4 linked regions of the Lytechinus pictus genome follow. The protein of the gene in region 4 purifies or fractionates together with the protein of the main gene of each other region. This does not show direct contact. Links are inferred from orthologs where the notes say so. Each region holds a gene or a part of one and is shown on either strand. Other genes may lie near its edges. The genes, in order: coatomer subunit beta-like, nudC domain-containing protein 1-like, coatomer subunit delta-like and coatomer subunit alpha-like.

Region 1 (8,528 bases), on a different chromosome or scaffold from region 4:
TTGTCAGTCCGGCATGGGTATTCAAATTCTTCCCAATACCACTCTTATTTCTTTTATCTTGCCTGGCGTTACATACATGTTAAAAATGTTTGTTGAATGTATTTTACTTGAATTTTTGTTTCACTGGTTGCGCAACGCACGCGTCTGTAACGTTGGCGAAGAACAATAGGAAACAAGATGGCGGCGTAAACATTGGGCAAGTCTCTTCCGTCTTTTCACAATATTTTTCTCATTTTTTTTGATGAATTCTTGTTTAAAAATAACGAGAGCGTAGAAATGTCGGAAATGAAGTTTAATCCCATGTACATCACTCCCTAGTACATGATTTTAGGGCTAGATCTGAAGGAAAGTAGAAATCTCGGGGGTGAAAGTTTCAGGTTTTTTGGGGTCCTTCGTGTAGGTGAATGAGAAGGAAGACCTGGCTTCATTGAGAGTAAGCCTACGTTAGTAAATGATTTTTACTCTCTAACTTAGAAGCCTCCTGGGGCCTGTTGCATGACGAGATGAGCGATACGTAGGAACGTCCTAGGACCATTCTTCCGAGATAGGAAGATTGGCGACAAATCAGCGCTTTCCGTTTCACGAAGGCAATTTTGTCTTCCAAGTCCGCGACATCGTTTGATATCGATAGTATCGGAAAAATATTTAGTCTTCATCGTCACCTGAACCTTTTATTTCTGAATGACGACTTTACATAAAATCCGATATTTCAATAAAAGGAGATAAAATAATGTTTTATTTATTACTGATAGTAGAATTGATGTATGGAGCTTACTTTATGAGGTTAAAAGAGAAAAAACTTTAAAGATTCACAAACATAACTAAATAAAATCGAAATTTTCATTATTTCCCTTATTTAGAACACGGTGTCTTTTTAGAGACACCTTTTATTGATATTTCAACGAAAGAGACCCTTGTCCGACATAAAAATTGATTTAACTAAGTAATTTCGACATTTATTAGTTCAATATTCTGTATTTTTATAGAATACTTGTATATAATGATAATTTTATAAATTATGCGTTAATATGTTATTTGTTGAGGTAAATATAGGGTTTAAATGGAGTAAACAAAATCAACAGTGTCTGATTGTATGAGACTAAAAAGGAAAATATGAGAGGCTGCGTGTGAAAAATCTAATTTATTTATTTTATTTGTCAGATATAACGCAAGAAATACAAATGTGAGTGTTTAGAGTATAAACATACCTCAGTTGCATGATGAGTAACAGAAGAAAATGAAAATATGAAAATTGCTGCAAACATGTCCAAGTGGATAAAGTATATAGTACTTTGCAATAATAATTAAAACATTGAAAAAGGTGTGAATCAATTCGCAATGGAAAAAATACTTTTACAGAAATAATGCTAAATATGACAACGATCATAAACGCTGGTCATATTTAAAGATGATCACTTAATTTATGGAAGTTTATATAAGAATATAAGGTTTAAGAAATAACATAAAAATATATATGTTCAAAATTTCAAAGTTAAGGAGTATAGAGATTATATGCTATGACATAAGGGCCGAAAGGGGCCTACCCTAAGATTTAAAATGCGCCTCTTCGTATGGACTTTCCATAATCTTTTCTTTAATGAACTTATCTTCATTTGTAATGGTTGTGATGGATTCGTAAGCTATAGGCTTGATCTGTATCTTAAATTCAATATTAGCTGCAGGTTTTTTGTTTTGTTTCACTGTTTCAAATCCAACAATTAATTTTCATTGATTAAAATAAATCTCAGCAAAAAAACAATAATTATAATGAAAATAAAATAAAAATAAATAAATGATTTAGCATGTTTAACATCTTAGTTTAGTTTGTCTTGTTTTTTTTTGCTGAATGTTATTGAACACGTTTTTTACCTTACATAATTTCTTTTAAAGAAATTTGTTGTTTATCTATAATGAGAAAGCATGAGGGGTCGGCTAAAGAGATATAGTGCCGCCCATTTCAAGTATTTCAAGTTTATTTTTTAATAGAAAAGGGGTGGGGATAAGACGGAGGGAGAATAGAAGAAAACATATTTAAAAAAATATTTGGCCCTAGTTACCCCCGGGAATAATACATGTACCCCGGAGAAGTTAAAATGACATCCGTTTTTGGTCGTCCTGCCGTGCAAAAAGATGACCTGAAATTGATGACAACTAGACCCCATATAAAAAATAACTTGGCGCCATCCCAGATAAAATGCATCAGAGTGCAACCAAAAAAATGTTTAGAGGTGATATGTCAGTGTGGCTTGCCGTAAATGCATTTTCTCTCAATGCCGACGGTGGCGGGCGGTGTGCAAATGAGATCATGCCTACGTAGGACATGTCTGGAGGTGTCTTTCCAAGGACCATTCTTCGTATCGCCCAAATCGGCTTTGTGAAACAGTTGAGCGATATCTCGTTCTTACGTAGAATGGTTCTACCAAAGACCCTTTCATGCAACAGGCCCCTGGCTACTCCTGCCAGTCCTGGCTAGTCAGAAGCCCATTTGTTTTGTGTGTGTATGACAACAAAAATCCTTATCAAATTAGACGGTGAATTTTTAAAGTAGACTAGATGCCAGACGGGACTCATGAGGGTGAAAAGGGGTAATTGTTCATGAGGAATCTGCTTATCACATTTTATTTGCTGCCAATGACAATGTAATCCTTTTGCAGCAAATGTAAACAAAGGAAATTGGTCTCCCAAACTGGAGACTGTCTCTGAAATTGGATACAGGATAGATCTAACTTTTTTAGAATTTAGGCCTAGGGCTAGGGCTAGAAAAATAGGGGCCCTAGGCCTACCCAAATTCAATACAAAACTTTCAAAAGTCAAAAAGACAAGTCTAATCTATCTCATAAAACATTGCCATTAAGCTGCAAATAGTCCACATACACTCCCAGTCACAGGAGAAAATTTCAAAAGGCCATTGGAATAAATATATAAAAAATCTTTAAAAAATAGGCGACCACCATTAAAATAAAGATTGCAGCATTGCACAAAAGGGTCAGTGATTTGGCTCGTGTGCATTTCAAGTGTATGCATCATGGAATTATGGTTTTCCGCCATTCAATCGCGTGCATGCTAAATCGCACGCATTAGGCAATACTACCCCCTTGCCTACGAGTCTACCTAGGCCCGGGTTAAGTGAATCAAGTGGTAAATGATCACAATTTTTATGGTATAACATGCTAAAGATATAGACTAGAAATGTTTAAAAGTGATACATAAATAAATACAAATTATGTATGATGAGCATCAATCCTCTCATTACCCGAAAATGTAAATCAAAATCACTCTTTTGTAGATCTTCACAACCTTTCCTCGCACAGTTTTATCTCCAATCGGTAAATTCCAACGTGGCGTTTCAGCGCCATCTACGGTGATCGCGATATAGTGTGTGCATATGACGTACTTACTTCGTGGCTTATGATTGGCTCTCTTTCCGCAACTAGATTTGAAACGTATTCATCACACGCGCGGCAAGTCGAGTCATGCAAGTGTACGGTGAAACATCGAGTTATGCCCATTGTTTTTCGATGTTGTAATATCATACGGTGAGTATATTATTACAAATTTATAAAATTCGATGTCTTAAAAATATGAATACCCATGATTATAATTTTCCTTGTAAGATGTACTTCAATGACGAAGAAATTTCATTCGGTGTTGTGCAGTGTTCAGTCACTGACTGACTGAGCTGACTGAATCGTCGGTGTTGTGTGTCCATTCATTAACAATGGAATGTGTGTGTGGCGACTGGCGTGTTTACATCAATGCCAAAGGGTGATTTCAATTTATTTTCAGTGTTGAAATCTGGTTTTGACCTCAGAAAATATGAGTAGACTCATATATATTATGATTAACTTTGTTGAGCAGATAATTGATAATTTAACTGTACTATCATGACTATAGTATAGACTTGTATCACATGTCATTAGAATGATTAGTCATATTCATTATTGACCGTAATTTAATCACTTGACTTAATCATGTCTTTTTTTATAATAAATTATTAATATAGCTCTCCAGACCAGAAGGGAGGGAGACATAAGTTACTTGTTAGTTTGAGGACTCCATGATGATGTCTTAAGTTAAAATACAATACGTTTGACATGATTAAATATACAGATTTAATGGTTGGACCTACCCCTTAATTTATCGACCACCTAATTTCCTAAGCATCGTATCTGCGAAAATATTTATCAGTTTTACCTACATTTTGTCTAATTTGTGCAGAAAATTGAGCAGATCAGATTCCCATGCTTCGATCGACGACTCCGATTGAACGATTCTATTCGCGTATATATCGGCGAACAACGAATGTGACGATTTTAGTTTACATTTGCTCATTTGCACCCTTCTTTTGAAACCGACCGCCCCCGATACACTTTACGGCCGATTCTTGTCACAGTGGCGAAATATTTTGACTCATCCAAATCAGTTCTCTGAGTCTGATATCAAAATGCTAAATAGTATAGTGATCGACTGATCGTCTCACTACATCAGTAGAGGCGCACGGCCAATATGGGAGACTCTCTCCAATAGGGGAGACAATCTCCCACATTGGAGACTTGCTTTGCAAAAGGACAAATGAAACAACACCAACAAAAGCATGATTTTTTCCACCCAAAATTTTGTCTCACTGAGGTCAAAAGTAGCCAGGCGGCTTCTAGAGAGTAAAAATCATTTAAAGGAGAATGAAACCCTTGAAACTAGCTGAATCCATATCAAAGAGAAAAATCAAAGAAACATATTGTTGAAAGTTTGAGGAAGATTGAATGAATAATAAGAAAGTTATGAGCATTTGAATATTGAGATCACTAGTGCCATGTAGATCCTCTCATCGGCAATGCGACCAAGATCTGTGATATCACACACGTACAACTCCCTCATTACTTTAGTACTTATTTCACTTTTATTCTCACTTTTATAGAGTCTATCACAAGGTTAGGTGTTTTCTTTATGAGATGACAAGTACAGAGGTTTCACAACATTATATCATTGATGAATCGTTTGTCATATGTACTTCCACTGCGAGCTCCGGCACATGATTCGACGATTGACGACGGACATTTGTTCTAAAGCCGTTTCCTATCGGATTTCTTGCCCCGTATGAACAACCGTTTTTCGGCGGGGTTCGGGTCTAGTCAAAACAATTTTGATGAATTCTTACTAAATTTGTATCTTTTCCCCCTTTTTCTCTCGTAAATCGATTCTTGTTCATATGGACACTGCGCCTACTCCCCCGCGCGTATCGTCCTTTAAGTTGGGTGCAAAACAAAGAATTTTTGTCTCATTGAGGTCAAAAGCTCGTTGTGGATGTTGTTGTTGTTCATTTTGGGCCTGTTTCACGCCCTACATTAGTAGTCTCCTCGGTAGACAGCTGGCAGCCGTCTGTTTCGAGGAGTTTTTAAACATTTTTTTTTTTAAATTTCTCCTCGTACACAGACGACTCGCTATCGTGCAGCCACCATTAGGGGGTTAACAATGCAAAATTCCCCCGACGGGGCTCATCAATTTTTGTCTTTATTTCATAAAAATATATAAAAAGAACTGTACCAAAATAAAGATTATCATGCCTTTATAGCCTGAAATGCACCAAAACGGGGAAAAATAAACTTAAAAGGGGAAAAAACAGTGACTTACTTCAGCTGTCGCGCAACTTCAATCCCTGTTTTATCCGAACTTAATACATTAACATATGGCCATTGAGTCCCTGTACAGATCAAGCTAGAACTTCGGTCTCTGTATTTGGTGAGTGGAGCCAACAGAGTTCAGCGGAACAACCAACATAAAAGAGACCGAAGCTTTTGGTCTATCTCCTCGGTAGACACTTGGTGTTGAGAACTCAAAGTCAAAGGTAGAAAAACTGCTAAGTAATTCAAATTGTTTTGTTGGCTAGTTAGGTGGCTAGATGTTAGCGCTGGTGGATGAGACAAATGGTGGATGGTATCGAACAAAATGCATTTGTACTTGTAGATCCGTATTAAAGGCAAACTGCTTACAGTGAAAATGTCAGCTTTTGCCATAGACTATCAATTAATCAAATGGGCACATTTGGAGTCAATAATTAAATTGGTTTGATTTGATTTGACTTGCTTGGAATTACCCCAAAATGGTAATGATTTGTTTTTCCCCCACAGGTTAGTCCATCAGAATAATAATTAAACTACAACAATGGCTGGTGATCAACCCCTCCTGGGGTTCAATATATACCATGATGCAGAGGCACACATCCGGCAATTCCTCCACGAGTTTGAATCCAAGCACATGAAGTATCTAGAAGAGGTGTTGATAACTGCCAAGGAGAACTTTGGAAGGTAGGCGATTCTCCTTGATCGTGGTTTCAGTGTAATCTCATCTCACTCTAAATGATGATATAGGTGATGTATGATAAAAGAAAAAAAAAACACAGAAAAGAATTGATGAAAGCTTGCCGAATATCTGCCAGAGAATGATTGATATCTACACGCGAATGAGAGTTGTGAACTTGTGATGTTATAAAGTTTTGAATTCACAACCTGACAAATGCATGTATGTGAGCAGCCGGTCCAGGGGGCCATTTCGTAAAGCTGTTCGTAAGTTAAGAGCGACTTTAAGAACGACTGGTGAACCTTTCTTACGTGCTAAACCATCGCCAATGGTGTATACCATTTACCAAAAGAAAGGATCACCAGTCACTCTTATCTTACGAACAGCTTTTTTTATGAAACACCCACCTAGGGGCCGTTTCATAAAGCTGTTCATAAGTTAAGAGTAATTTAGTTGAGCGACTTCAAGAATGACTGGTGAACCTTTCTTACGTGTCAAACCATCGCCAATGAACCAGTCGTTCTTAAAGTCGCTCTTAACTTACGAACAGCTTTACGAAATACCCACCTGGTGGATGTTTCATAAAGATGTTCGTAAAGTTACGAACGACTTTATGCACGACTGAAACATGTTCTTTAAGGTAAATGCTAGTTTTGGTAACGATATCAAAATGAGTTCGTACAGAATCCAATGAAATGACCACCAAAGTATCTGTTTGTATAAATAAAACGCATGTGCCAAAGGATTCTGGAAGAAATTGTGTAATTGCTGAGAAATCAGCAAATAAGCACAGGATTCGGGTAGAGCGTCGGGCCCGACGCTCAAAGCAATAATTATACACTGTCCCACGTGCACTTATCTGTGTTGGGGAAGTTCAGTCTGAACATTTTTCAGCGTAGATTTCAAGATTTCACAAAGTTCAGTTTATGTAACTGTACCAGATCTAGATCCTCGATGATATACTGACAATTAAGCCTGGTTTTACAGACTTTCTCATGAAATCAGTGTTTACTGCAACTACTGGAATTTCTCTTTAATAGGTCATAATCAATTACATAGAGATATCACATAGCACAAGAAAGGATCACCAGTCGATCTTAAAGTCATTCGTATCTTACGAACAGCTTTATGAAACACCCACCTGATGTCATAACTTTTCAATGGTTCACCTCACCATGACTGAATATAATTGTCCTTTAGGAGAGGGTGTGTCTGATGATTCTGAATGCACATGTTTCAAATAAACGTACTCGATTTTCTGGGGCATTTTGCAGAAAGAGTTGTGTTTAACTTTAAACGCAAGTCAAAATATCAAGCGCAAGTCCCGAATATGGGTGCTTAATTGGCTGAAAATCAATTAGCGCAAGATATTTTGAGTTGCATTTGATGATCGCAACTCTTTCTGCAACGGGCCCCTGGTGGAGGTTTTTCCTGTTACTTTTTGAAGTGCACTGAATGACTGAATAACGATTTTCATTAACAATATTTTTTTGGGGGGCTTTGTATTTACAACAAACCACAGGTGACAAATTGATATTTGCAGGTTTTTTAAATTTGAGTCAAAATCATAGTTTAATCAATGCTTTTAACTTCTTGCTTCCAACTATAGGGATGATGCCATACTCCTACCGAAGACCCCTGCTGTCAAGAATAGAACGCGTAAAGGTCGACGTGTTGCTCGGAGGAGTTCAGTTGAGGAAACTATACCATCTAAAAGGTAAGAAAGTCACAAAAGTCGCAAGTTTTTAATAAACTCAGATGAGCTGAGGGTATTTTAATTTGTCATGGACCAGTCATAGCCTTGGGGTGTTTCACAAGTATCAAAGTCTGGCTAAAATTGCTTGCATTTAAATACCCAGCGCCATGTGGTTGTCAAAAACATCACTGAATTGGTCAGATCATATCCTGGGGACTTACATGTACTATCACAGATTTATCAGTATATGAATAGCGAATAGCTATTACAGTGTGATTTCACATAAGGTGAAAGAAAGCTGCTCTGGATGAATAGATTGTCTCTTTGTTTCACCGATGCATGATTAAGAATACTTACTATTTGTGTTGTACAACGCCTCCGAAGTTAGCAAAAATATGAACAATCAAATTTTTACAACGTCAGTCTATGAAAATAAAGAAAGTAAAAAGCAAATTCTCATAAGTGTGCATTTCGACAGTAGGCCCTATTCATATAGTGCAGCTGCAGTTATTTAAAAGCCAAATGAATAGTATTGTGA
Region 2 (8,049 bases), on a different chromosome or scaffold from region 4:
GTTTACGTCGAAACGAATTGTGGTAAGTTATTTTCAAGACCTTCATCTACATTTTGGTATATAATTGTCCATATTTCGACATTTTCAACCTACCATTTTTACCTCTTTAATTGATGCTTATTTTAGTAATATTTTAACCGCGATTTTGTAGTCGGAATTTCACTTTTGGTTCCTGACTTTGCTACATAACCAAATTGTTTCGATCGGGGTTTTTTAGAAAGAAGAAAAGTCACTGTTCAAAATATGTCAGAACCAACTTGACGCAAACTCACCTTGTATTTTTATTTTAGAGAAAATGATACCCTAAAAATCAAGAAATTTACGTTTTACCCGGAAGTAACCTTCTCGTTCACTCCACGATGGCGCGAAATAATGCCAAAATTACGTTCGTCGCGGGTTGGTAGAATTTCGCCTTTGGTCCCATACGTTGAAACTTCTGTAATGATGGCAGATGGCTCGCATTATATTTCTGACTGTGGACGGTGGACTTGTTTTTTTTTTTTATTAAGACTTAATATAAACGAAGCTTAATAAGTAGATCCCTTCTAAAGTTTTATTCAAATGATTATCAGGTTTCCGAATTCCATCAAGTTTTTATAGATTGAGATATTTCTTGATTTATGTTGAAAATTGTTAACCTTTTTTCTTAATTAGTCGAAGATGAGCCCCATGATGATTTTTGCCCCAGGCTGCGGTTAAGAATTAAATGATGATTAGCTCAGACAGTCTACTCTAGAGACTATAAACAGTTTAAAGTCAAAGTAAAAAGTCTGGTACTACCGTACTCAGTAGTATTTATAAACCATTTTGTTCAAATAAAAAAATTGTGTCTGTCACAGACAGTACTTAGTTAGTCTCTTAATTGACTTACATGTAACATAATTCATACTTTGAATAATTTAGACTATTTCTCTCTTTTTTGTCTCTTCTACACACAGATCTGCATACTTTCTGACTCTGGTCTCTGCTTGCTACTTCATTCTGGGAGATTCCATCATGTACTATAATGGTCAGACCATGATTTGGACAAAGCCCTTTTTTCGTTTGCAAATTTTGGACTGATAATGATACAACAGAAAATTGATCTTTATCGATATTGGAAACAAAAAAATTAGAGCACAGTTTTGGGGAGGACTAAGAATACTGACTTGGACAGGAATACAGCTTGACAAAAATAAAAATTCACAATTCAAAACCAAAGAACATTTTTGATGCATTGCAAGAAACTTTCTACTCAATCACACATTCCAAAATTAAGGGTAAGTCCTTTGATTAAACACAAACATGTAGTTGATTTGCAATTGAACATAAGTTTCTTGCAATGCCCCATAATTATATTTTGTTCTCAAGCAACTCTGTTATATGTTATCTAATGTGCTGAAGGTTAAGTGCCATGTATGTTCACAATTTTTTTTTTTCGAAAGGTATAATATATTTGTCCTTTTATATGGTATTTGAATGTGGTTACGCCTTGTTTTTGTTTTCCACAGTAATTATATGAACAATAGTGAAATATTTGTTGTGAAGCACTGTATGAATGTTGTGTGATCATGGAGCTATGGTGTGATGGTATTATAATTAATTCATAATTTTTGTTATAAGACTGTAAACCTGGTGGATGTGAGGGGGTGGCCTGGATGAAAGGAAAGTGAGCATGTGTCCAATTACTGATTTGCATATGTTTAGACAATTTTGTTCGTGGATAAATATTAATGTGCATTCCCTATTCCAAGCAAAGAGTAAAGGAGAAGTCCACCCCACCAAAAAAATAATTTGAATTTAAAGAAAAATAAAGTATTGCAGAGAATTTTATAAAAACTATGATTCAAAATTCAAAAAATTACTATTTTGACATTGAGAAATTTGCCTAATTTTATAAAACAATTATATGCTCATCTTGGTCAATGTGCAAATTACAGAACCGATTATGTCACACGCACTCTAATTTCTTGTGTATTTTTTTGTTTGATACATGTACATGACATGTATATTTTATTTTAATTTTCATTAACAAATTTTGAGAGGGATTTTAATTCCTCCATTAACATTCGTAGTTTCCATAAATGTAACCTATTGTGATTCGAGAAAGATTTTTTACATCAAATTTGCTAAAATTTATATAATAAAAATGCAACAAAAATTTAAAAAGTAATTTGATGTGAGTGACATAATCAACTCTATTTGCATACCATTGTTTTGTGTATATAACTGTTTTGTGTAAAAACAGGGAAATTTCTTTATTTATTCAAATACTTTTTTGTTGATGTGCACTTGACCTTTAACTCACTTCCCTTCCCACCCCTGCCCAAATAAGTGTAATCAAGAACTTGAAAATCAAAAGCAGTGATTAAGAAGAAGTAAGAATTAATCATAGAGCTATTAATAATAGCTCCATGATTTAATAAATACAGGCCTAAATAGAACTTCATATGAAAGTAAAAAGAGAATAAAGCTGGGTAGGAACGATGAAGGAATACGATTTAAAGAAAAAGCATAAACATATCCCCATCAACCCCCCCCCCCCCCTCAAAAAAAAAAAAAAAAAAAACTCAATTTGGTGGGTTCGAACCAGGGTCCTTGCACACGTCAAAACATAGCGCTCACGCAATTCGCCATCGATCTCTTCCGTATTACTTCCGGGTTTTTTAAGATATATATAATGTTGTAAGTCTGTGCGCCGCTGTTGACCAATCAGAACGCGTCGGCAATTCTACTACAATTCCAATCATTTCGCGATGGACATTGCCGTGGTTTTTTGTGGTTCCTGACTTTGCTACATCATGAAATTTCATAATTTTTTTTCAGTCGTAAATAAGAATGTCTACGCTTTATATTGATTATAATATCAATTTGACGCAAGTATGATTTCGATGCAAAAATGCGCTCTGTTTATTCACATATATTTCTTAAAAAAACTCATTTTTTCTAAGCTAAATATCGGTCTTGAAAATACATTAAATGTGCATTTTATTTAGCTGATCAGAAATTTCAAAGTTTTATCTATAAAATAAGACCAATTATGTGAGGAATAAACGATTCTAAGAGCAAAAAACACCGATCGGAAAGTTCGTCTTCACAGCTCATTACGTATGCATAACCACGGACGGCTATGCATACCGCTGAATAAAATAGAGCACTTTCGGACGGGCTGCGGACTGACTGGACAATTGGATTTGGAGCGAAATAAAGTGTGTGAATGATACGCGCTCGCTATTCACTGCAATGCAATTTATGTACGCCCAGCTGATCGGTCCGCACTTTCGCCTAATTACGACTTAAATCATAGCGACGCAAAAATGAATGCATGGGACAAGGGCTTGCTAAGCCTCGCACTTGCCAACTTGTATAAAACAAACTGAACTCACCAGACTTGACGGAAATAGAATAAATTGGTAGTGGGTCGAGAGATAATTTGTAGCCATCAAACTGGCTATCAAGAAGGTCTCTATTCACGCGAAGAACTTCTGAACAAGCAGCCGCCATTTCGATCCGTGACATCTACCGTACCAGGCAAGCATACATACCGGCCGTGTGCGTAAACCACGCACGGTACGCGCGCCACTCGTACTTCACGATTATGGAACGCTCATCAATGTTCGGAATTCTGGAAAAACACGTCAATCATCATGACGTGGCAGTGGAGATGTCATGGGGGCCAAGCCTCCCCCCCCAAAAAAAAAAAACAAAAAAAAAAACAAGCAAATTAAAAGGGGAGGGAGGGGAAGAAACAGTGGGGAAATGAAAGAGTAAAAGAAGGAAAAGTAGGGAGAGTGAGATAAAAGACAGCTCGGGGACATGCAGTTAATTGGCGGCCCTCGATCGATGAGTGTTCGGAGGAGGGGGGGGGGGGGGGTTGGCGCAGTAAGGTGAGAGGAACAAGAGAAGTAGAAGTAGGGAGAGGTGATGAGAAAGAATGTGAAGAGGAGCAGAGAAATGGAGAGGAAAGGGGGCAGTGTCAATCCAGGGAGGGCAGTGGACGAACGATATCGACATATGCAGCTAGAGCACAGCCCCCTATAAATTAATTGTGACTTTGTGACATAATTAACACTCTTTTAATCTGTGCAATTCTCGTTTATCTTCTTTTTTTCATTAAATTTTCCTTTTCGCCCCTGAATGACATAATTGACTGGAATCACTGGATTATATTCAACAGACATTTTTTTATGACTATATATACAGTGCGTCCCACAAAAAACGAAACCGAGATTTATCGATGATTTATCATAACTTAATCACAAATACAATAGACAAATGACCTACCATTGTAAAGCTTAGAATCTCCTCTTTCATCTGAAATTACTTAGATTATTTCTCATTCACGCAAAAATGGCAGAGGTAAAAATGGCACAGGTAAAAATGGCAGAGGTAAAAATGGCAGAGGTAAAAATGGCAGAGGTGGATATGGATCGCACTTAATAAGGAGCTGATATTTTTCATTACTATTACTTTGAGTTTTAACATATAGGACCGGGACATCCTTAGGACACGCATATGAAAATGATGACTATCTCACAATCACAAATACAATAGACAAATGACCTACCATTGTAAAGCTTAGAATCTCCTCTTTCATCTGAAATTACTTAGATTATTTCTCATTCACGCAAAAATGGCAGAGGTAAAAATGGCACAGGTAAAAATGGCAGAGGTAAAAATGGCAGAGGTAAAAATGGCAGAGGTAAAAATGGCAGAGGTGAAAATGGCAGAGGTGAAAATGGCAAAGGTAAGAATGGCAGAGGTAAAAATGACAGAGATAAAAAATGTGAGAGGAATATATGGCAGCGGTAATAATGGCAGAGGTAATAATGGCAGAGGCAAAAATAGCTGAGGTAAAAATGAAAGAGGTATAAATGGCCAGTCTTAAACCCCCATGCCAAAAAATAAAAAAGCCCCTCTATGTACAGTAGATTAAATAAGAAAAGGTCTGAGAAGAAAATTGGAATTATAATGTTGGACTAATGGAAAGGGTAACATTTTTAAACCATACTGTAGATCTTCTGCACCAAATTGATAACACTTGAGTTGGTATTTCTTTTTTCCCCCGGAACTTACATGCACGGCCTTCTCATGTCAAATCGCTCTTCTAATATTCAATTTTGAAGCACACTTTGGATCCCAAGTATTGTACTTTATTCATTAAAGGGGGAATTCACACTGACATATAGTTTATTGTAGAAATAGCAGAAAATAATTAAAATGATATTGATGAGGGTTTTAGGGAATCCATCAAAGATTTTAAAAGCTATTAGAACTTTACATTTTAAAGTTCACGTCATTTGCGAGCAGTTTTTCCCACATATGGTGTAATAAAAAAATATGAATGAAATGTCATTTTCTAAAAAAAAGGAAATTGGTTTTCACTGTACCTTAAGTATATCAACATACAAATCATTTCACATCCGCTCCTGAAAGATATTTTAGCAATCATGAACCACTGATTAAAAATTGAAAAGTATACATTTTTGGTGCATAAAATACGGTGAAGCTGCTAGTATATGTCGTCACAAATCAAAAACTCAAACTTCTAATAACTTTCTTAATCTTTGATTGGTTTTCCGCAAACCTTCACCAATATATTTTTCTGCTAATCTAACAGTAAACCATTTGTCAGGGTGAATTTCCCCTTCAAAACAGGTTGATAGAATGGTACCTAAGAAACACCTATAAATTTAAATCCCTGATTCGCTATACACATTTAAAAATTCATGCGGTAACCGTTACCATAGAAACTAGTTTAGGAACCTTACATCCACTTGGACTAGCTGCAATGCGGTATTGCTCTGAAAACCTGAACGCTAGTTGCTATTATTATATAATTTACATTAAACTATATATGTATCATATCAATATCCATTCGGATCCATTGTGATGTTGAAATATGAAGAAATTACTTTTATTACAGAACGTTTTATTTTTCTGTTATCCAAGTTTTGCAAGTGGCTCAAAGAAATCCTGAACTTGTCTATTTCAGTGTGTTATTATGGTAGCGCACATTGGTGTTTACATTACAATTCGTTTGGTATGTATGCAGTGGCGTACCTAGGATTTTCCACAGGGGGGGCAAAATCGGCCGCAAAAAATTTGACAAGCAAAAAAAAAAAAAAAAAAAAAAAAAAAAAAAAAGGTCTTCAATTAAAAAAAATGAAGGTCATCGTACCAGAAAAAAATTGACAAGCAAAAAAAAAAAAAAAAAAAAGGTCTTCAATTAAAAAATGAAGGTCATCGTACCAGAAAAAAATTGACAAGCAAAAAAAAAAAAAAAAAGGGGGGGCAGGTATATGTCTTTTGTATGGGTTGTGGCTCGTCAGGGGGGGCAGAGTGCCCCCCCTGCCCCCCCGTAGGTACGCTAGTGTATGTATGTGATGAAGTGCTGTTCTACTTTATGAACTGTCCAACATAAATCCTTTCATCACTCACTAATTGAAATCATTTTGGCATGAAAATGTTTGAGTTTATATCATATCAACGATAAAGTATAGACCTATAAAATAAAATTTTACTGTTATGAATAAACATAAATATATAATATCATAATCCTTATTTATATAATGCGAGCGCGAAGCGCGAGCTAAATTTCTTTAGAAATATTATGTATTTTTCCTAAAATTTTGAAAATTCTGGGCAATGTTTGCTATCCTGAAAAAGATGTGTATGTAAATGAATAATTACTACAAACGTGAAGCGTGAGCAGAAATGAACTGATGGAAAAGATACTTGTTAAAGACTGCTTGCAGTTAGCCATGAAGACGTTACATATTTTAAAAATCAAATAATGCGAGCGCGAAGCGCGAGGTGAAATTTTTTGACATTTTTACCTAAGGAATGAAAATTCTAAGCACTTTTTGTAATTTAAACAGATAGGTATATAACTAAACAATCGATGCGAAGCGCGAGCGCAAAATTTCGAGATTTAGACCTACTGAACGAGACACTCTATTCAAGTTTTGTAAATCATGAAAAGGATGATTAATTGGGGATCTTCGTTACATTAATGCGAGTGCAGAGCGCGAGCAGAACATTTTTGTATACGTTTTGAACTGATCGAAAAGGTACCTGTTGAGGACTGCTTGCAACTTAGCCATGAAGACGTTACATATTATAACAATCAAATAATGCGAGCGTGCTGAAATATTTGGACATTTACATAAAGAATGTAAAATTTTAATCAAATTTTTTAATCGTGAACAGGATAAGTATAACTAAACAATTGATGCGAGCGCGAAGCGCGAGCGGAAAAAATCGAGATTTAGACTTAAAAACGGGACACTATATTCATGTTTTGTAAATCATGAAAAGAGTGAGTAATAGGGAATCTTCCTACATTAATAATACGAGCACAAAGCGCGAGCAGAGAATTTTTGATATTGTGATCTGAAACTGGATAATGATTTAAATAGAGAACAAGTTGATCATCTGAATAAACATGCGCGCGCGTGTTTCATATATTTAGACCTAGAATCTAGGCATCCTAATTACATCTTTTATCATAAAATTCAAAGCGAGCGCGAAGCGCGAGTTTAAACTATGTGATATTCCGATCTGAAAAAAAGAGTCAATTTCAGCTCAATATTTTAAGCACTTTGTAGGAAAATTGTGAGGTGGATATGGATCGCACTTAATAAGGAGCTGATTTTTATTTTATTTTTCATTACTATTACTTTGAGTTTTAACATATAGGACCGGGACATCCTTAGGACACGCATATGAAAATGATGACTATCTTCCTATTCCTCTTGCTAAGCGCGAGATGAAACAAAAGGGACAATTTAATTATTAAATTAATATCTTATTCATTAATGCCTATAATGAGGGCGCGAAATCTGATGATATTATGGCCTGAAAAAGCACTTTGTAATTATAAATAGGATACATCAGTTAATATATCAAATAGTAACTTAGATACCCTTGACTTGATACAAAATCATTGAAATTAGCTGCCCCATTTATTGCCCTATCCTTATGTGACATCTTTAACACTAGTTTAGATACGGGGATTTGTTCCTGCTGACTGGAAAATTGCACGTACGACACCGATTTTCAAAGGTA
Region 3 (8,618 bases), about 29 Mb from region 4:
AGTTCTTTGGTGAAGAGGTTGGATTCTCCGATGGATGCGAGTGGCTTGTCTTGAATGTGGTCCCCGATGGTTTCCATGGTTACTGAGACAACAAAAAAAGACCAGGAATGAAATAAATTATTAGAAGAGTGTACATCACATGGCTGAACTTAAAACTTTTTTATGGAGGGGGGAAACAAGACACCTAAAATTTTTGAAAGGAGCTCAAAAGCATTGTAAGCGTAAATTGACAAAGCTCATTATGGCACATTTGAAGTATTTCATGCAAATTTTTTGTGAATTTTGCAAAAATTTTCAGTAAAAATTTTAAGTTATCAAAATTTCTGGTTGAAGGGGGAACTGCATCCCCCCTCCTTGCCCTTCACTGCCTACAGCCACAAAATGTTACTTTGATCACTCCCTTAACTGTTTTGCAAACAATAAGCAGAATTTCTATCATAACTTTCATATTACATTGTAAGTCTTAGTAAACTGAATTACATGTAGGATATGATTTGACCTGTACAAAAAAACATCTGTTTTTCTTTTCAGAAGAAGACCCTACACTAGAAATCCTGGATCCACCAATGATGTAAATGCATTTAAATCATCAAACTGCTTTTCTGCATTCATAGATATTCAAAGCCCCTTCTCAATGCTAAATTGGTTTTCTGGTGTACCCTTGTCATCTCGCTCAATCACCATCATCATTATCCTCCTCCTCCCCCTCCTCATATTATATGTTTAGAATGGCAGCTTTGGCAATATTTCTTTTTGGGTTGTAGTAGCTACATTGTAGCTCTTCAACATTTGAAGAAAAAAAATCCAGAGCTTCTCATGAAAATAGCGTTAACTTAAATCCAAATTCTGTGACAATGCCAGGTTCATCATCATCAGTTAGTTCTTATTTATTCATAAAAATCTAATTGAAATCATCACTATAATGAGAGGAAGAGAAAAAAAAACTGATCAAAATCATTTCAAACAATTATATGGATTATTCACCATTGATAGTAATGTTAAATGTAAATAACAATTATTTAGTGACTTCATTTTAACAAAAAATAAGTATTTATTCGTCATTGAAAGAAATAATAATGGGTTGCAATTCACAAGTTGGGTTTTTGTTTTTTCTAATGCAAAAAGGGTGGCGAATGAACAATTTTCAATTGTAGAACAATTGTAGCAACATCACAGCCCCATGGCCAAATTTGTTGCATACAGTCTCATTTTTCAACTCAATATCAATAATAATATGGTCATGAAAAACTTGGATTGTCTTGGCATTAACCCCTCAAAATCTGAGGAAAAAACACAATTTTTTTTATTTACCAATCTTGAATTCCACATCTGGATGAACTTTCTGCAACAGTTCCACAACATGATTGGTTTGTATCATGGCCAACTGAAAAAAAAGTAATAGATAAGAAATGAACCCCTTATCACTCATCAGTTTCTTCTCAGCTTTTTGATTTAGAATAATTTTGCAATGGGAACTTAGGATGCAATTTTGGAACCATGTGATTGAACTCAAATTATTTTTTAATAAAATTAAGTAAAAGTGATTTCAAGAAAAACAATACGTGACTATATAATATATAGTCACGTAATGTTTTTCTTGAAGGGTATGCGGCAATTGCGATGCAAAGAAAAATGGTTGGTTAATATAAAATAATTTTATGATATTCATAATTTCCACAATATTTTGGAATAGCACGTGCGAATTTTTCCAGAATGTATTTCCTCTAACAAGTTAGTTGTCATTTTTGAATTAAAGCACAGTGAAATAAAGATGTCCGGCAATGTCAATGATAATTGATATATAATAAAAAAAAATATATCATCACAAAACTACGCTGTGTCTAGATCCAGGTCCAGGCCAGGGCCAGGCTTACCAGGCCCAGGGGTGCCGGTGTACCGGCGGATCCTGCGCCTGGCAGATACTGTTCTAGGCACCAAATCCGCCGGCGGATATGGTTCTCCTCCGGCGGATTCAGTACCAAAAAAGGCCACTCCCTTCAGAAGATTCGGAAGATATCGTTCTTGCGCTATCGCGATATCCTTCATTCATCACGTTCACACGTCATGCATGCACGCGCACCGCGCGTGAATAACGTTGCGAAATGAAGTTCGAAGAAGAGGTGGGTTAGCCTTAGTCTAATTGAGAGCCAGCTACCTTTCGGATTCTAGTTACATTAGGCCTTGAAGAGGAAAGCCTCAACATTTTGCCTTTATTCTGATGATTAGGGACAGAGTCAGACTCAGACTGACGTTAATCAGAGATTAAGTTTGCACAAAGAAGAATCTAACTTTGAGCTATTTTTTGGCATTATATTCAGTAAATAAAATCATATTCTACACTTTTCCTTTGCTTTTCTTTCCTCCTTTCTTTTTGTTCTTGTTTGTAGAACTTTTTGGGACCATAGCCCAACCCTTCCATACGCAGTGCTGTGCGGTTGGGGTCCGGAATTTCTTGATATCAAAGCCATTTAAACCTCGCAGATTGCCGCTATTTTAATCAAATCGCGGGCATGTACAGGATATAGCTTTTACACAACACATTTATTCAACCCAGTTGCGTAATGAACCAAATATTTTGAGGGGCAAAACATAGTAATGTGGGAAAAATCTGTAAAAAGTCGCAAAGCGATCGAGCTGGAAAAAAAAGCCTTTTGAAATTAAATTCTAATTATATAATTGATTTTTCCATTAGATTCAGCAACTAACAAATTTCATTGTTTCCATTCATTTCATTATACCTTGTCTCCTTTAATTTATTTTATTTCTCTTGGGTGTGGAACCAAGACCCCCCCCCCCCCCCCCCGGCGCATGTGCAGTAATTGAACGTGATTGTGAACGGGAAGCGTTATAGAGCAATTTGAGGTTCAGTATAAATGAAGAGCCCCTACTGTGTGGGGTCTGGGGCAAAGCCCCGGTAGCTTATTTACATAAAATTTGGCTAGCTTATAGCACAATGTTATATGCAGTCCATCTTTCTTCCCGCTCTTTAATTTCAATCATCGGAAGCCCGGTCGTGTTATTTTTTTTTTCTTGTCCCTTTTCTTTGTTTTCCAAAAATTAGCTTTTGACTAATTGCATTTTACCTTCGTTTCGCGCTATTGTTTGCCATTTTGTCATCTTTTAATTTATTTCCCATCGTGCTATTGCATTACATATGCCTGTTTTGGAATGATTTGTTCTTTCTCAAATGTTCATTTTCCCGATTTCCTTCCTTTTCCATTAAAAAGGGTTTTTTTCTTCGTTTTCTTTTCACTTTTTCCTTTCCTTTTCCCCTCATTCCCCTTTCCCTTTCTTTCTCCCTCCTTTTTTTTCCTTTCCCGTTTTTCTTTTATTCCTGGTTAAATCCGACAGGGGGCAACTCCCCCCCCCCCCCCGCCTGTTACGTCATGAATATCCATTAGGTGGACTGATGATGTCACATCTCCACTTGTTCTTTTGTAATTTATTATATGAAATTAGGTTTATTCAAATTTTTTCCTCCAAGAACTAGAAAATTTGGATTGACAACTGATTTAGTGCATTAGATATTTATTGCTGCAACTTATTTCATTATAAGGGAGACATATTATTCACACAAGTATGAAATAAATGAAAAAAATATGGTTTTGTGTGATAACATAAGAAAACGGAAAATGGGGATGTGACATCATCAGCCCAACTAATGAATATTCATGATGACTGTTTTCACAAAATATTGCTTAACTTTAAACTTCAATAACTTTATTATTTGTTATCCGATCTTGATGAAATTTTCTGCATTTTGCTCAGTGAATTCTACTCTATGTATTAAGATATAAATATTTTCAGCCCGGACCATCCCTTTAATTCAGATTCCTTAACAAAAATATTGAAAAAAAAGGAATAAAAAAAAAACAAATTAAAAATAGGCCTACAATAAACTACATAAGATATTAATCATGTTTTGAAATTCTTTTTTTTTAAATGTTTTCACAAAAAATCAGCACTCTACAAGCAATAATATGAGTTAACAGCAATATATATTCATAAACTAATTTGCCTCATTTATTTTGAAATTATGAAGTTTTAACTCGTTGAAAATCTGTAGTTTTATAAAAACTATAGGCCTATATGGGGGTACAAATTTTCGCCAGTCTGGCAAACTTACACTAATCATGGTGTGAAAAAGCACAGTTAAAGATTTCGATGCATACTGCGGACTTAAAGTAGTATAAATTTTCACGTAGGGCCTACAAAACAAAATGATGAAAATTTCATCAAAATCTGATAATAATAAATAGCAAAGTTTTGGCGCATGTGCCAGGTCTATGTATACATGATATATCGAGTCATTGTTTCTCCTATTCCCTCACCCCCATCGAGCCCTTCGTCAAAAGCTTTATGGATCCGGCCCTGAATAAAAATTCACTAAAAGTCTAAAGGCGGACGAAAATCCCCTCCCCCCATTGGTAACGACATTGCCAGAGCCGCGCATGCGCGCGCTGCCGAGGTTGGACGTCTGTCCAAATAAATATTACACGTATCGTCAATAGAACCAAATCTGCAAACTTCAAGCCGCGTCAAACCCGGCGGATATGGTTCCGATTAAAAACGATATCGGCCATTAAGAACGATATCTGCCGGCGGATACGGTATCCGCCGGTGGAACCGAATCCGCCGCTACACCGGCCAGGAGTGGGCGTGTCACCTCATCGGCGCGGCATCGCTGAGCTGCGCTGTCAATTGTCAAGACAAGAGGAAGAAATTCGATAAACACAATACACAACCAAACACGTATGGGACCGAACAAAAATCCTTCGGTTCCCCAGAGGCATTTACCTCGCTCTTTCTCGAGCCTATGCGAATAACTTCCACTTGACTAGCCATACTTTCGAAAAGACGACGATGCTTATTATCACTATGAGAAACTCCCAATCTCCGTGAACCGAAGTCTTCTAGTAAAATTAAAACTACGTTTTCGGACCGTCTGCGTCACTGCTCTGTACTGCTAGCTGCTCGCGAAAGACTTTAACTACACGTGAAATGCAAATGACCTTCAACCCGGAAGTTGAGCCCATTATATGTGTACAATTTTAGAGCAAAAATATAGTGCTGTGTATTGGTTGAAATTATATTTTGTACAATTGAAACACATGAAAACCTTCATTCAAATAAATTTTACAAGATTTAGGGATAATTCAATCAGTGAAAGTGATTACTGTTCTCTTGAATGAGAAAGAAAAGTCCACAATTAAAAAATATTCTTCCGCCACGGGCGTTATCCGTCTCAAACTCCACATCACACGGACGTGGCCCGTCTTAATCTTACGACTGTGTAGCGAAAATCCTGAGAAAATCCCACAGAAGACAGTGAAATTGCCGTTTTATTCGAAGAGCATACTGAATAAGAAGATGGTATGATATTGTTAGCTATAATTTCATTAGTAGTAAATAAATGGTGTTTATCGTTTATTGAAATGTCTCTTACAAGCTAAATAATCAAGCCTTGATAACTTTTTTAAATTAAAAATCTTGCTGACAAAAAAAGTGACAGACACAGTGTGAGTGCAGTGCAGTGAATAAGTGATCAGTGGTGTTGTTGGGGGAAATAATAAGATGGCAAATATAGCGATCTTCAACGCTTATATATAAGCGTCGAAATTTGTAGCCATCTCCTTGTATTAGTCTATAATATACGACGTGTCAAATTGTAGCGAACTAGTTCGCCATTTCCAGATCTCCTCTATATATATATATACGAGGGGGAATTGTAGCGAACTAGTTCGCTATTTTCCAGATCTCCTCTATATACAAACGACGGGAAATTGTAGCGAACTAGTTCGCTATTTTTCGGATCTCCTCGATATATACACAAGGGGAATTGTAGCGAACTAGTTCGCTATTTTCCAGATCTCCTCTATATATACACCAGGGATTTGTAGCGAACTAGTTCGCTATTTTTCGGATCTCCTCGATATGTACACGAGGGGGAATTGTAGCGAACTAGTTCGCTATTTTTTTATTTTTCCAGATCTCCTCTATATACATACGACGGGATTTGTAGCGAACTATATACGAGGGGGCATTGTAGCGAACTAGTTCGCTATTTTTTTTGATCTCCTCTATATATACACCAGGGGGGGAATTGTAGCAAACTAGTTCGCTATTTTTCGGATCTCCTCTACATGTATACGACAGGAAATTGTTGCAAACTAGTTCGCCATTTCTCATCTCCTCTCTAAAATATAAACATGGCAAACTGTAGCGAACTAGTTGGCAATTTTTCTGATCTCTTCATATACACGAGGGGGAAATTGTAGCGAACTAGTTGTCATTTTTTTCCAAAGCTTACATTATTGTGAAGGCTTCAAAGTGAAAATCTGCAGGTTTTGGCTGTATATATTGATGCCATATTGTCAAATTGTAGCAGACTAGTTCGCTATTTTCCAGATCTCCTCTATATATATATACGAGGGGGAATTGTAGCGAACCAGTTCGCTATTTTCCAGATCTCCTCTATATCCATACGACGGGATTTGTAGCTAACTAGTTCGCTACTTTTCGGATCTCCTCTATAAAATTATATACACGAGGGGGAATTGTAGCGAACTAGTTCGCTACAATTCCGTCTCTTGTATATATAAAGATTAGAAAAATAGCGAACTAGTTCACTAATTCCTCCTCGTGTATAAAATTTTATAGAGGAGATCCGAAAAATAGCGAACTAGTTCGCTACAATTCCCCCTCGTGTATATATCGAGGAGATCCGAAAAATAGCGAACTAGTTCGCTACAATTTTCTGTCGTATATAGAGGAGATCCGAAAAATAGCGAACTAGTTCGCTACAAAAGAAGAGATCCGAAAAATAGCGAACTAGTTCGCTACAATTTCCCGTCGTATATATATATAGAGGAGATCTGGAAAATAGCGAACTAGTTCGCTACAATTTCCCGTCGTATATATATATATAGAGGAAATCCGAAAAATAGCGAACTAGTTCGCTACAAATCCCGTAGTATGTATCTAGAGGAGATCTGGAAAATAGCGAACTAGTTCGCTACAATTCCCCCTCGTGTATATATATCGAGGAGATCCGAAAAATAGCGAACTAGTTCGCTACAATTTCCCGTCGTTTGTATATAGAGGAGATCTAGAAAATAGCGAACTAGTTCGCTACAATTTCCCGTCGTTTGTATATAGAGGAGATCTGGAAAATAGCGAACTAGTTTGCTACAATTCCCCCTCGTGTATATATCGAGGAGATCCGAAAAATAGCGAACTAGTTCGCTACAATTTTCTGTCGTATATAGAGGAGATCCGAAAAATAGCGAACTAGTTCGCTACAAAAGAAGAGATCCGAAAAATAGCGAACTAGTTCGCTACAATTTCCCGTCGTATATATATATAGAGGAGATCTGGAAAATAGCGAACTAGTTCGCTACAATTTCCCGTCGTATATATATATATAGAGGAAATCCGAAAAATAGCGAACTAGTTCGCTACAAATCCCGTAGTATGTATCTAGAGGAGATCTGGAAAATAGCGAACTAGTTCGCTACAATTCCCCCTCGTGTATATATATCGAGGAGATCCGAAAAATAGCGAACTAGTTCGCTACAATTTCCCGTCGTTTGTATATAGAGGAGATCTAGAAAATAGCGAACTAGTTCGCTACAATTCCCCCTCGTATATATATATATAGAGGAGATCTGGAAAATAGCGAACTAGTTCGCTACAATTCCCCCTCGTATATATATATATAGAGGAGATCTGGAAATAGCGAACTAGTTCGCTACAATTTGACACGTCGTATATTATAGACTAATACAAGGAGATGGCTACAAATTTCGACGCTTATATATAAGCGTTGAAGATCGCTATATTTGCCATCTATAAAATACCGTGTTGTTGGGGCACCTATTGTTTTGCCTTGACGGTGTTTACGTGTTAATGTGTTAGGAGCCTTAGTTATAGGAGGTAAGTTTTTACATGAGCACAACAGATTAACACCAAATGATGCCCACCAAACATGTTGAAGTTGATAAGTCCCGAAATGTCACTCGGTTATGTCGGTGTTGAGGCCACTTGAGTTGTCAATATTTTTTCTAACGTTGTCGTTGTTTTAACTCGGTCATGATCGACTCATGTCATTGTCCGTCAAAATAGGTTTTGGACATGTTGGTAGTACTAGTAGGATAGGATTCAGATATGATCTAGTTTGTGCTTCCAAGTTCCAGGCTAAACACCAGATCACTTGAACAGCAGAGCCAGAGGCGCTGTGCTGGTCAGAAAGACAGAAAATTAGGATCGTCCCAGTTAATTACATGATACAGGGACTGTCTCAGAGACTCAGTTTTCAATTATTTCTCCCTGCAACAAATCTAGGAAAGTTCATTCACCTGTCAAGTGCAGACACCACTCAAGTTAGACAGCTGGCAGCCGTCTGTTTCGAGGAGTTTTTAAACATTTTTTATTTTTTTTATTTCTCGTATACAGATGCAGACGGCTGGTAAAAGTGCAGCCGCCATTAGGGGGTTTGCAATACAACCCCCCCTGGCAGGAATTTTAGCTAATAATAAAACATTTAGACAAGTACTGCACCTATAGCAAGATTATCATTCCGTTTTAGCCTAAAATGCACCAAACGGGGAAAAAAAACT
Region 4 (7,736 bases):
TCTGACCTGATTTGATCATTGGATGCAAAATAATGCACAGATGTTTGAAGACACAATATTAATCTTCCCTGTGCATGGGATTCATCATTGTTCATTTAAATATTTTTTTTCTACATAATTCAATTCTATCTCAAGGTGCTTGCTATAGGCCTTGATAGGGATAAGTAAGTTGATTGACCCACAAGACCCCTCCCACAAGACCCCTCATACATGTCATAAGGAAAATTGGTCATGCATGTAATATGAAATACAAGATCATAGCTGAAAGGCAGCTCGAGCTAAAACCGGGGTAATAATAATAATAACACGCCTTGGAATAGAATATTTCTAGATAGATGGCTCTATATAAATAACTATTATTATTATTATTATTATCATATTTATCATTATCATTATCATTATCATTATTATTATTATTATTATCATTATTATTATTATTATTATTATTATTATATAATATTGGAACTAATCTCCTTACATGATGGAAGAAGGTTGTCCTGATGTAATCCAGATGTCCAAGGAGAGTGAAGAGACATCTTTTGAGTTTATAGTTCCAGACCTTGATCTTGTAGTCATCGCCTCCAGAAACAAACAGGGGCTGCTGTTGGTGGAAACTGATCCCTCTAACAGGACCTGAAAGAAAAGTAAAAATTTTTTTAATTCTGAAAGAACATTTTCTGGAATGTCTGTTGATTTAGGGCTGTATATTGCAATTTTGCCTCTGAAAAATTAAGCATAAGCAGCACTCCGAGTACTAAGTTTGTGATCGGCGATCTGAAACGACATTTGAAAACGTTGATTCTGTACCCGCAATGGAAGCATAAACACACCCCTAGACTTCTTTTTAAAAAACTGGGGAGCTCACAATGGCTCACATTTTTCTCTGTGATTTTGTTTATTCTAGACATCTGATTACACAATCCAAGAAAATATTCATAATTTGTCCATATACATGTAGGTCCTGTATATTTGGAAACAGGTATTGAGTCAAGGCAACATTTTGCTGGACTTGGCCTTGGTCCAAGTCACATGTACAACATCTATGGGAAGTTATAACTGTAAAAAAAAACCAGCCTGAACTACATGTACATGTACATCCCTGTCTGGAAACTACTTTCCCAAGAAAATGAGGATTTCTGAGACCCTGAGAGGCTTCTCTTTTATTAACCCATTGCCTACTGGAACCTGGGGCCTATAAGTATAACACAAACTTAGCAATGATCGTAGAACATTTTTCTACGATTGATTCCATTGACTACAATGTACAATCAATCGTGAAAATCAATCGTACGATTAATCGCTAACCTTTGTGTTACGGGACCCAGATGATACATGTACAAAGACTACGGAAATCTCAGAATTTAGTAGTCAACGGGATGACGTACATGTTATTCTTTTCTTGGTTGGACTTGACCTTCACCCCTGCAAATGACACTTACCATCGTGTTCATCAAACTTCTCCAAGAGAGTGCACATACGGTAGTCCCACAGCTGGATGTTTCCATTGTGCAAGCTGGCAAGGATCCATGGTCGGTTGGGGTGAAAGCACAAGCCTGGAGGAAGAAAGAAAGAGATTGAGAAAGTACAAAGAAGAGCAACAAAACTCATACCATCCTTGGCAATGCTAGACTATGGAGACAGACTTCGAGCCCTAAATCTACCATCCCTGCAATACAGAATGAGAAGAGGTGACATGATCCAGACTTATAAAATAGTGCATGGAATCGACTGGCTTGACAAAGGATATGTTCTTCTCGTCAATTAATGTTGAGGCAACCCGAGGTCACCCATATAAACTCTTCAAGAAAAGAAATAGACTGGATGTAAGAGCAAATGCCTTCGGAGCCAGAATAGTGCGTGACTGGAACTCGCTACCAAATGAGGTTGTCTCTACTCCATCTGTAAATTCCAGGCTTGATAAGTTCTGGAATAAAGAATGGTACAGTCACCCTTGGGAATGATTTGATTTGATTTGACAGAAATGATTGCAAACGCACCATGTACACTGGACACTCACAGTCACACATATTACTTGTGGAAGAAGATTAAACTTGGACGAAAGCTAGACCTGGAAACTTGGCTGCAGCTTTCTGCATTTTTCCAGTACATCCAGTAATACTAATAAGGTAATAAAGGAAAAAAGAACCGAGGATTAATGGGAGAAGGCAGAGAGATGGGGATGGGACCCTCACAAGGACGACACTGTATGTGAAAATGACAGAGTTCAAACACAATGACAAACTGAAGAAAATCTAATCTGGGACTAACCTATGTACATCACCATCTAAAACATGTGACCCAGGGCCAGGCTTCACATCAATTTATCAAATCTCTGATTGTGTGAATCAATCTAATAAAATTTGACTTTTATACGAACAAAGTAAGAAAACGGATAAAAGGTGAAATGCTTAACAATAAAATTATTATTATTATTTTAAGGGTTATAAGTCTTACTACGAATACAGTAACATTGAAAAACCAAATCATGACATTGTATTTTTTCTAAAAATTGAAATAAAAATTTGAGTTTGCGTTTGACTGAACTTCTGTCACTGAATGAAAGGGAAAAAAAGAAGATTGAGAAATTCTCAAAAATCATATAGTATACGGTATTTCAACTATTATTAAGGAAATACAATTTTCGTATTATCTTTATCTTCCCAACTTTGCAAAATAATGAAGGTGAAACCACGGCACACAATTTAATGTCTGGATTTCAGCTCTCCCGGTACGAAACACGACGGCAGCAAGCGGGGGAAGCGCGGCCGGGGTAATGGGCCATGGCACGGCACATCGGCAGTCCCAAACCCGACATTGCAAAGAATCAGTTGCGGACATTGGCGGTGCTGTCACAACACCGAATTCCACCCAAAATTGCAAAGTCAAATATGTGATTATTAATTTTCTTGCATACCTTTCACCCTTGCAGATTTCGTCTCAAATTTTGTAAGCATGATACTGCTGTCAAATCATCAAAAAAGTAATGTAATTTTCTTCCTTTTCTCCTGACAATTCCACGAAGATGCAGCCACGTCACTTTCAGCTTATGTTTGATAGTCTTTCGTACAGCCGTTTTCTCTTGATATTCTTCTGTTCAATTAGTGAGGAACATAGAGATGTATACTAGTAACGCTAGAGGGCGTACTTCGTCAAATCGCTGTGATTACGTGGAGACCGTCCGCCATTGCTCGATAGGTATTCGCAGCCTGCCATATCCATGCGCGTACAGTACCTATGGGGCATGTACACGGATGAGCACAGAACATGACAAATTGATGACATATGAGCACGAAAGCATATGGAAAAGCAAAATTGTAAATATTGCACTGGATTAAAGTTCAAATACAACAAAAATCTAGCAAAACTGAGGTCAAAAGGCCTATATAGGCCTATCTATAGCGCATAATATAGGCCGATACAGCTATAATACAGGCAAACGATTTAAAGTCCCAATTGTTTTTGCTTAGGTAAAATTTTGATACATTAATATGACTTCTATTTTCTAATGATTTGGAAGAGATGAATATCAAAAATAACATTTAGGCCTAGGTCCTGATAAATAAATTTAATGTGTTTTAATATGATTTGATGTACATTAACCTAAGAAAATTCATAGGCCATATCACAGTGATGCATCTGAGACGCTGTATCGAAAAAAAAAACACGATTGTATTTTTATAGTTCATAGTTTCCTAATTACTATTATGCTGATTGCTGATAATTTATTTCTTCACTTTAGATAATTGTTATAATTTATTTTCCATATATATCTACACAATAGGGCCTATAATAACTCGATCCCTTTTCCCCATGTCTTACACGCTGATGTAAACCAACATCACAAAAACTCGCGAATCATAAAATGACTTTTTATTGATATTTGGAAATGATTTACGCATTGATTCAGTTAAAAATTGATGATTTAGATTTCCTTTGCTGGCAACCATCCCATCATATTTATAAATATGTATATAAAAGTATACTTTCTTACTTGCGATCAATGTATAGAAAAGTTTGTTGACAGCAAAATGCGCGCATGCAGTCGTACAATTTTGCAATGTACAGGAGGCCTAATGGGGGGTTGGATGTTTATGTACAGTGTTATTGCCTTGCAAACATTTTAAAACTTCGGAGAGTAAACAAATCACAATGCGCAAAACAATTTTACTTTGATTTTCTGGAAAGTATAGACTTGATTCTCCCCGGCTGAAAATATGCTGATCGGCAAACTGGCTGAAATATTTTGTTTATCGCCGTTGTTTCTGATCCTATAATGATTGGACCAATATCATGTGAACAAATCAAGGATAGAATAATAAGGAGAGGAAGAAGGGGGAGAAGGAGAGAAGGAAAGGGGCGGGATTATGATATATAATTTTTATTATACTATAAAGAATATTATTACTACTGCAAGAGTGTATAAAACTAATATCATGAAAGACATCAATGCAAACTTATCATAATTATGAAAACGGTTGCAAAATTGTGAGTACTAAAACCAAACATAATTATGAAACAATAATATTGCAAAAGTGACAATACTTGGAATAAGATATTAAAAATCCAAATTTAATCTCAAATTTGATACCTGCCTTGAAATTGTGCTAATTAACTGTGTCTGTGTCGCTTGAATAAATGAACTTTATGGCAAATATTTGTAAGCACTGGCACCGGCCTAACATATAAACAGATAAACACGCGTTTTGAATATCCAGTTTTGTTTTTCATTTTAAAAGTATAACTGAATTTGATTTTCTAGTTTTCTTCCTTTAATGTCATTTGCTGGCCTATGGACCTGAGTTTGGTTATTCGATCAGTTTTTTTTAAATAAGATTTCCATGGATGAACAAAATTATTATATTATGTTAATTACGGCGTCGCGGAATGATTTTGAAAGTGATGGGGTGCATAAAATCACAATCATTTATTATGTGTAATGTTCATTTTCATTTCAGGGAGGGGTCCGGTCGCGCCCCCTGTATTTTATTTTGATCAGTATGTTAAAGCGAATTTGCTTAGGTGTGTTTGTTATTTTAATTGCACACACGGCCCCTAAAAAGCGAATTAAAACAAATCTAACTTAAAGTGAAGGGAATTAAAACTGTCATTTGTGAAAAGTTTGAACAAATTAGGCTATATTCTCGACATTTTAAATCAATATTTTATTTTCGGGCCATATAGGCCTGCAGATTTTGGGGAATTTATTATGTTCCTATAAGAACAAAATCAGCACGTTCACCAAATAACACAAATTTCAACATTGATGGTGTAACGGGAGGCTCACCAAGAACAATAATGAGATGCCCTTTAATAGCGCATGTAGATCAAAACACTAACTTATACAGAATTATTGTACAACTTAATATATAAAAATGATAGGCCTATATTTCATACAAATTAAAGCAAGTTACATATCATGTAGGCCTATATAGAAATTACAAAATTATATCCAACATAAACATAGAATCAAAGGACGTAAATGTGGGAAGGATGGAAGGAGGACGATGCAGTTAAAGGTAGGGAAATCCAGAGAAGGGCTAATTCACTGCAGTCTTTTGAATTAATTGTCAATCTTTCTATTAATGTCCGCTGTATGTTTTTATTTTTATATGATTGTTTATTTGATAGTATATCAACATTGTTATCTATTACAGGCCTATAAACGGACAGGTAAATGCAAATTATTTAGAATTTCATCCCGAGAAATCAGGTTTTTAAAATGCCAAATTAATAGCATAATCCCCATGTAATCACTCTAATAGTGTATTGAGATGCAATTTGTCATTCATATTTTCGATTTTTATGAGGTTGTGTTCTTTTCTTCAAGAAAAAGGCCGGAGACGGCACCCCTTTTCACAGCGTTACAACGCACGAGCTATGGGTACATCCGGGTACTTTTGCGAATCTATACCTATCGAGCAATGGCCGCCACGCTCCACACAATCACAGACGTTAAGTACGCGCGCCTATGGCGACTCCGCACTCTAGCGTAGTTAGTATACATCTCTATGGTGAGGAATTGGTCGAAAATCTAAAATTTCCCGTTATTGGCGACTACAAAAGTGCGCAGCACCCTCTCTCGTTGGATTTTTTAAATTTTATTTAGACTGTATTAGACTAATTAAATTATCTCAAAATTCATACTCTAGTGAAAACTGAGATTTATTTTTCCCCCTGTTTTTTTTTAATTCCTTCTTTCTTCCATCATTTGTTAAGAATAACCTTGTATATTATTTTCGTCTATTTATTTTTCATTTTTGTTTACTCCAATTTTACTTTTGCCAATTGTATTTTACCCATGCTTTGATATATTTTGTTTTTCGTTTTTATTTTTGTATGCTTGTTTTATGTTGATATTATATGTTATTATCATTTGTCCACGGCCTTGCTGAAAAGCAGCTTCTAGCCGAAAGCAGGCTTTTTAACCGTGATTAAATAAATAAAATACAAAAAAAAATACAAATACAAGAATTATTCATGTATTTATCTATCTATTTCTTCAGTATCTTAATAAAGTCGTTTGTCTATTTATTTCTCCTATATCCTTAACTTTTTCTTATTTTTCACTTTTTTCCGTTTTATGTTCTTTAACTTCCATTTCTTTCTTTTTTATCATTTTTATGGTGGTTTTTTTTTTTCTTAATGTTTTATTTTCTTTCTTCTTCCATTTTTTCATGTTTTCTTTCCGCTTTAGCTTTCCCATTGAGAAGAAAGAAAGAGTTAGAACTCGGATCCACTTTTTGTCAGCGGCGGAACGTATATATAGGCCCTACATCTTCTTTGGGGGACTCTCTTATTTCGCCAATCCAGATCGGCTGTGAATATAGTGGGATATATTGACCAGCCGAATATGTGACCTTGTTGATTTAAATATAAATCTAAAATACTTGAATTTAAACCTTTTGAGATTTAAAAGTTAATTAAGATTCAAATTGAATTCAAAATTTGGCTGGTCACTAATATTCACAGACGATCTGGATTTATTTTAAATCCTTGGAATTTATAGAGTGCATGGGCCCAAAATAACACTTTTTATAACATGTATACTCATGTCAAAATGTGAATTTGGGTGCAAACTGATATTTTCATCATCAGATTACGTTTCTGCCTGAAGATGTTGTGTGTTTCATGGAATTAGATCAGCAAAACCTTTTTTGAAGTGATTTCTGATTGAATTTATTTCAGGCTTTATTTATTCCGCGACGAGCGGTTCCAAAAAATGAAAATTGAAGTTGTAAAACTCACTTTGTGATCATTTTTGGCGCTGATTTCTGTTTAAAGGGCATCCTTTTCGCAGTTCTCATGAGTTTTGTTTGTTACCACTTTTTGTCACTAATCTTTAGTAACTAACATATCGCACTGTCACTGATCGAATAATGCGAGCGTAAATTAGCGCAAAATGAATTTTTTTTGATATTCCGACCTGAAAACTAGAAATACTCAGCAAGCGCGAGTATGTGCATGTCTTTTTAGCCTACTTAAAAAGGATGTTTGTCGGAGACATATCACATTTCATTCATGAAAATATGGCCTTTTTTCGTACGGGATTATTACTTTTTTGGCAGGGTGCAAATTCCTACGACCTTATTTTTTTATAGTTATTTTTTCTTCCACTGTATCTTTTTTGTGGGGGGCATATGGCTATAGATCATGAAGCAGTACTGCCGAGGCCCGGAAAGTTTACGTGGTCATATTTTCATTGAGGGTGTGAAGTCTAGCATGTTTCAATGTTTTTT

What was found.
Region 1: the proteins of coatomer subunit alpha-like (region 4) and coatomer subunit beta-like fractionate together in Homo sapiens (co-fractionation; 6 studies listed by BioGRID and IntAct, with this or other methods). This does not show direct contact. The link is inferred for Lytechinus pictus from reciprocal best matches to the Homo sapiens genes COPA and COPB1.
Region 2: the proteins of coatomer subunit alpha-like (region 4) and nudC domain-containing protein 1-like purify together in Homo sapiens (co-immunoprecipitation; 3 studies listed by BioGRID and IntAct, with this or other methods). This does not show direct contact. The link is inferred for Lytechinus pictus from reciprocal best matches to the Homo sapiens genes COPA and NUDCD1.
Region 3: the proteins of coatomer subunit alpha-like (region 4) and coatomer subunit delta-like fractionate together in Homo sapiens (co-fractionation; 4 studies listed by BioGRID and IntAct, with this or other methods). This does not show direct contact. The link is inferred for Lytechinus pictus from reciprocal best matches to the Homo sapiens genes COPA and ARCN1.

Annotation. Positions count from the first base shown.
Region 1 is NC_087263.1:10,345,173-10,353,700, reverse strand, and holds the start of coatomer subunit beta-like, read right to left. Parts: upstream 3,362-8,528; 5' UTR 3,254-3,361; intron 1-3,253. Other genes in the region: inner centromere protein A-like, read left to right, coding at 6,160-6,302, 7,904-8,011. UniProt on the Homo sapiens protein: The coatomer is a cytosolic protein complex that binds to dilysine motifs and reversibly associates with Golgi non-clathrin-coated vesicles, which further mediate biosynthetic protein transport from the ER, via the Golgi up to the trans Golgi network.
Region 2 is NC_087246.1:46,603,085-46,611,133, forward strand, and holds the start of nudC domain-containing protein 1-like, read right to left. Parts: upstream 3,578-8,049; 5' UTR 3,499-3,577; coding exon 3,366-3,498; intron 1-3,365.
Region 3 is NC_087252.1:32,344,944-32,353,561, forward strand, and holds the start of coatomer subunit delta-like, read left to right. Parts: upstream 1-5,260; 5' UTR 5,261-5,370; coding exon 5,371-5,373; intron 5,374-8,618. Other genes in the region: porphobilinogen deaminase-like, read right to left, coding at 1-82, 1,312-1,384, 4,798-4,845. UniProt on the Homo sapiens protein: Component of the coatomer, a cytosolic protein complex that binds to dilysine motifs and reversibly associates with Golgi non-clathrin-coated vesicles, which further mediate biosynthetic protein transport from the ER, via the Golgi up to the trans Golgi network.
Region 4 is NC_087252.1:3,709,636-3,717,371, forward strand, and holds the start of coatomer subunit alpha-like, read right to left. Parts: upstream 3,085-7,736; 5' UTR 2,955-3,084; coding exon 2,915-2,954; intron 1,554-2,914; coding exon 1,440-1,553; intron 634-1,439; coding exon 479-633; intron 1-478. UniProt on the Homo sapiens protein: The coatomer is a cytosolic protein complex that binds to dilysine motifs and reversibly associates with Golgi non-clathrin-coated vesicles, which further mediate biosynthetic protein transport from the ER, via the Golgi up to the trans Golgi network.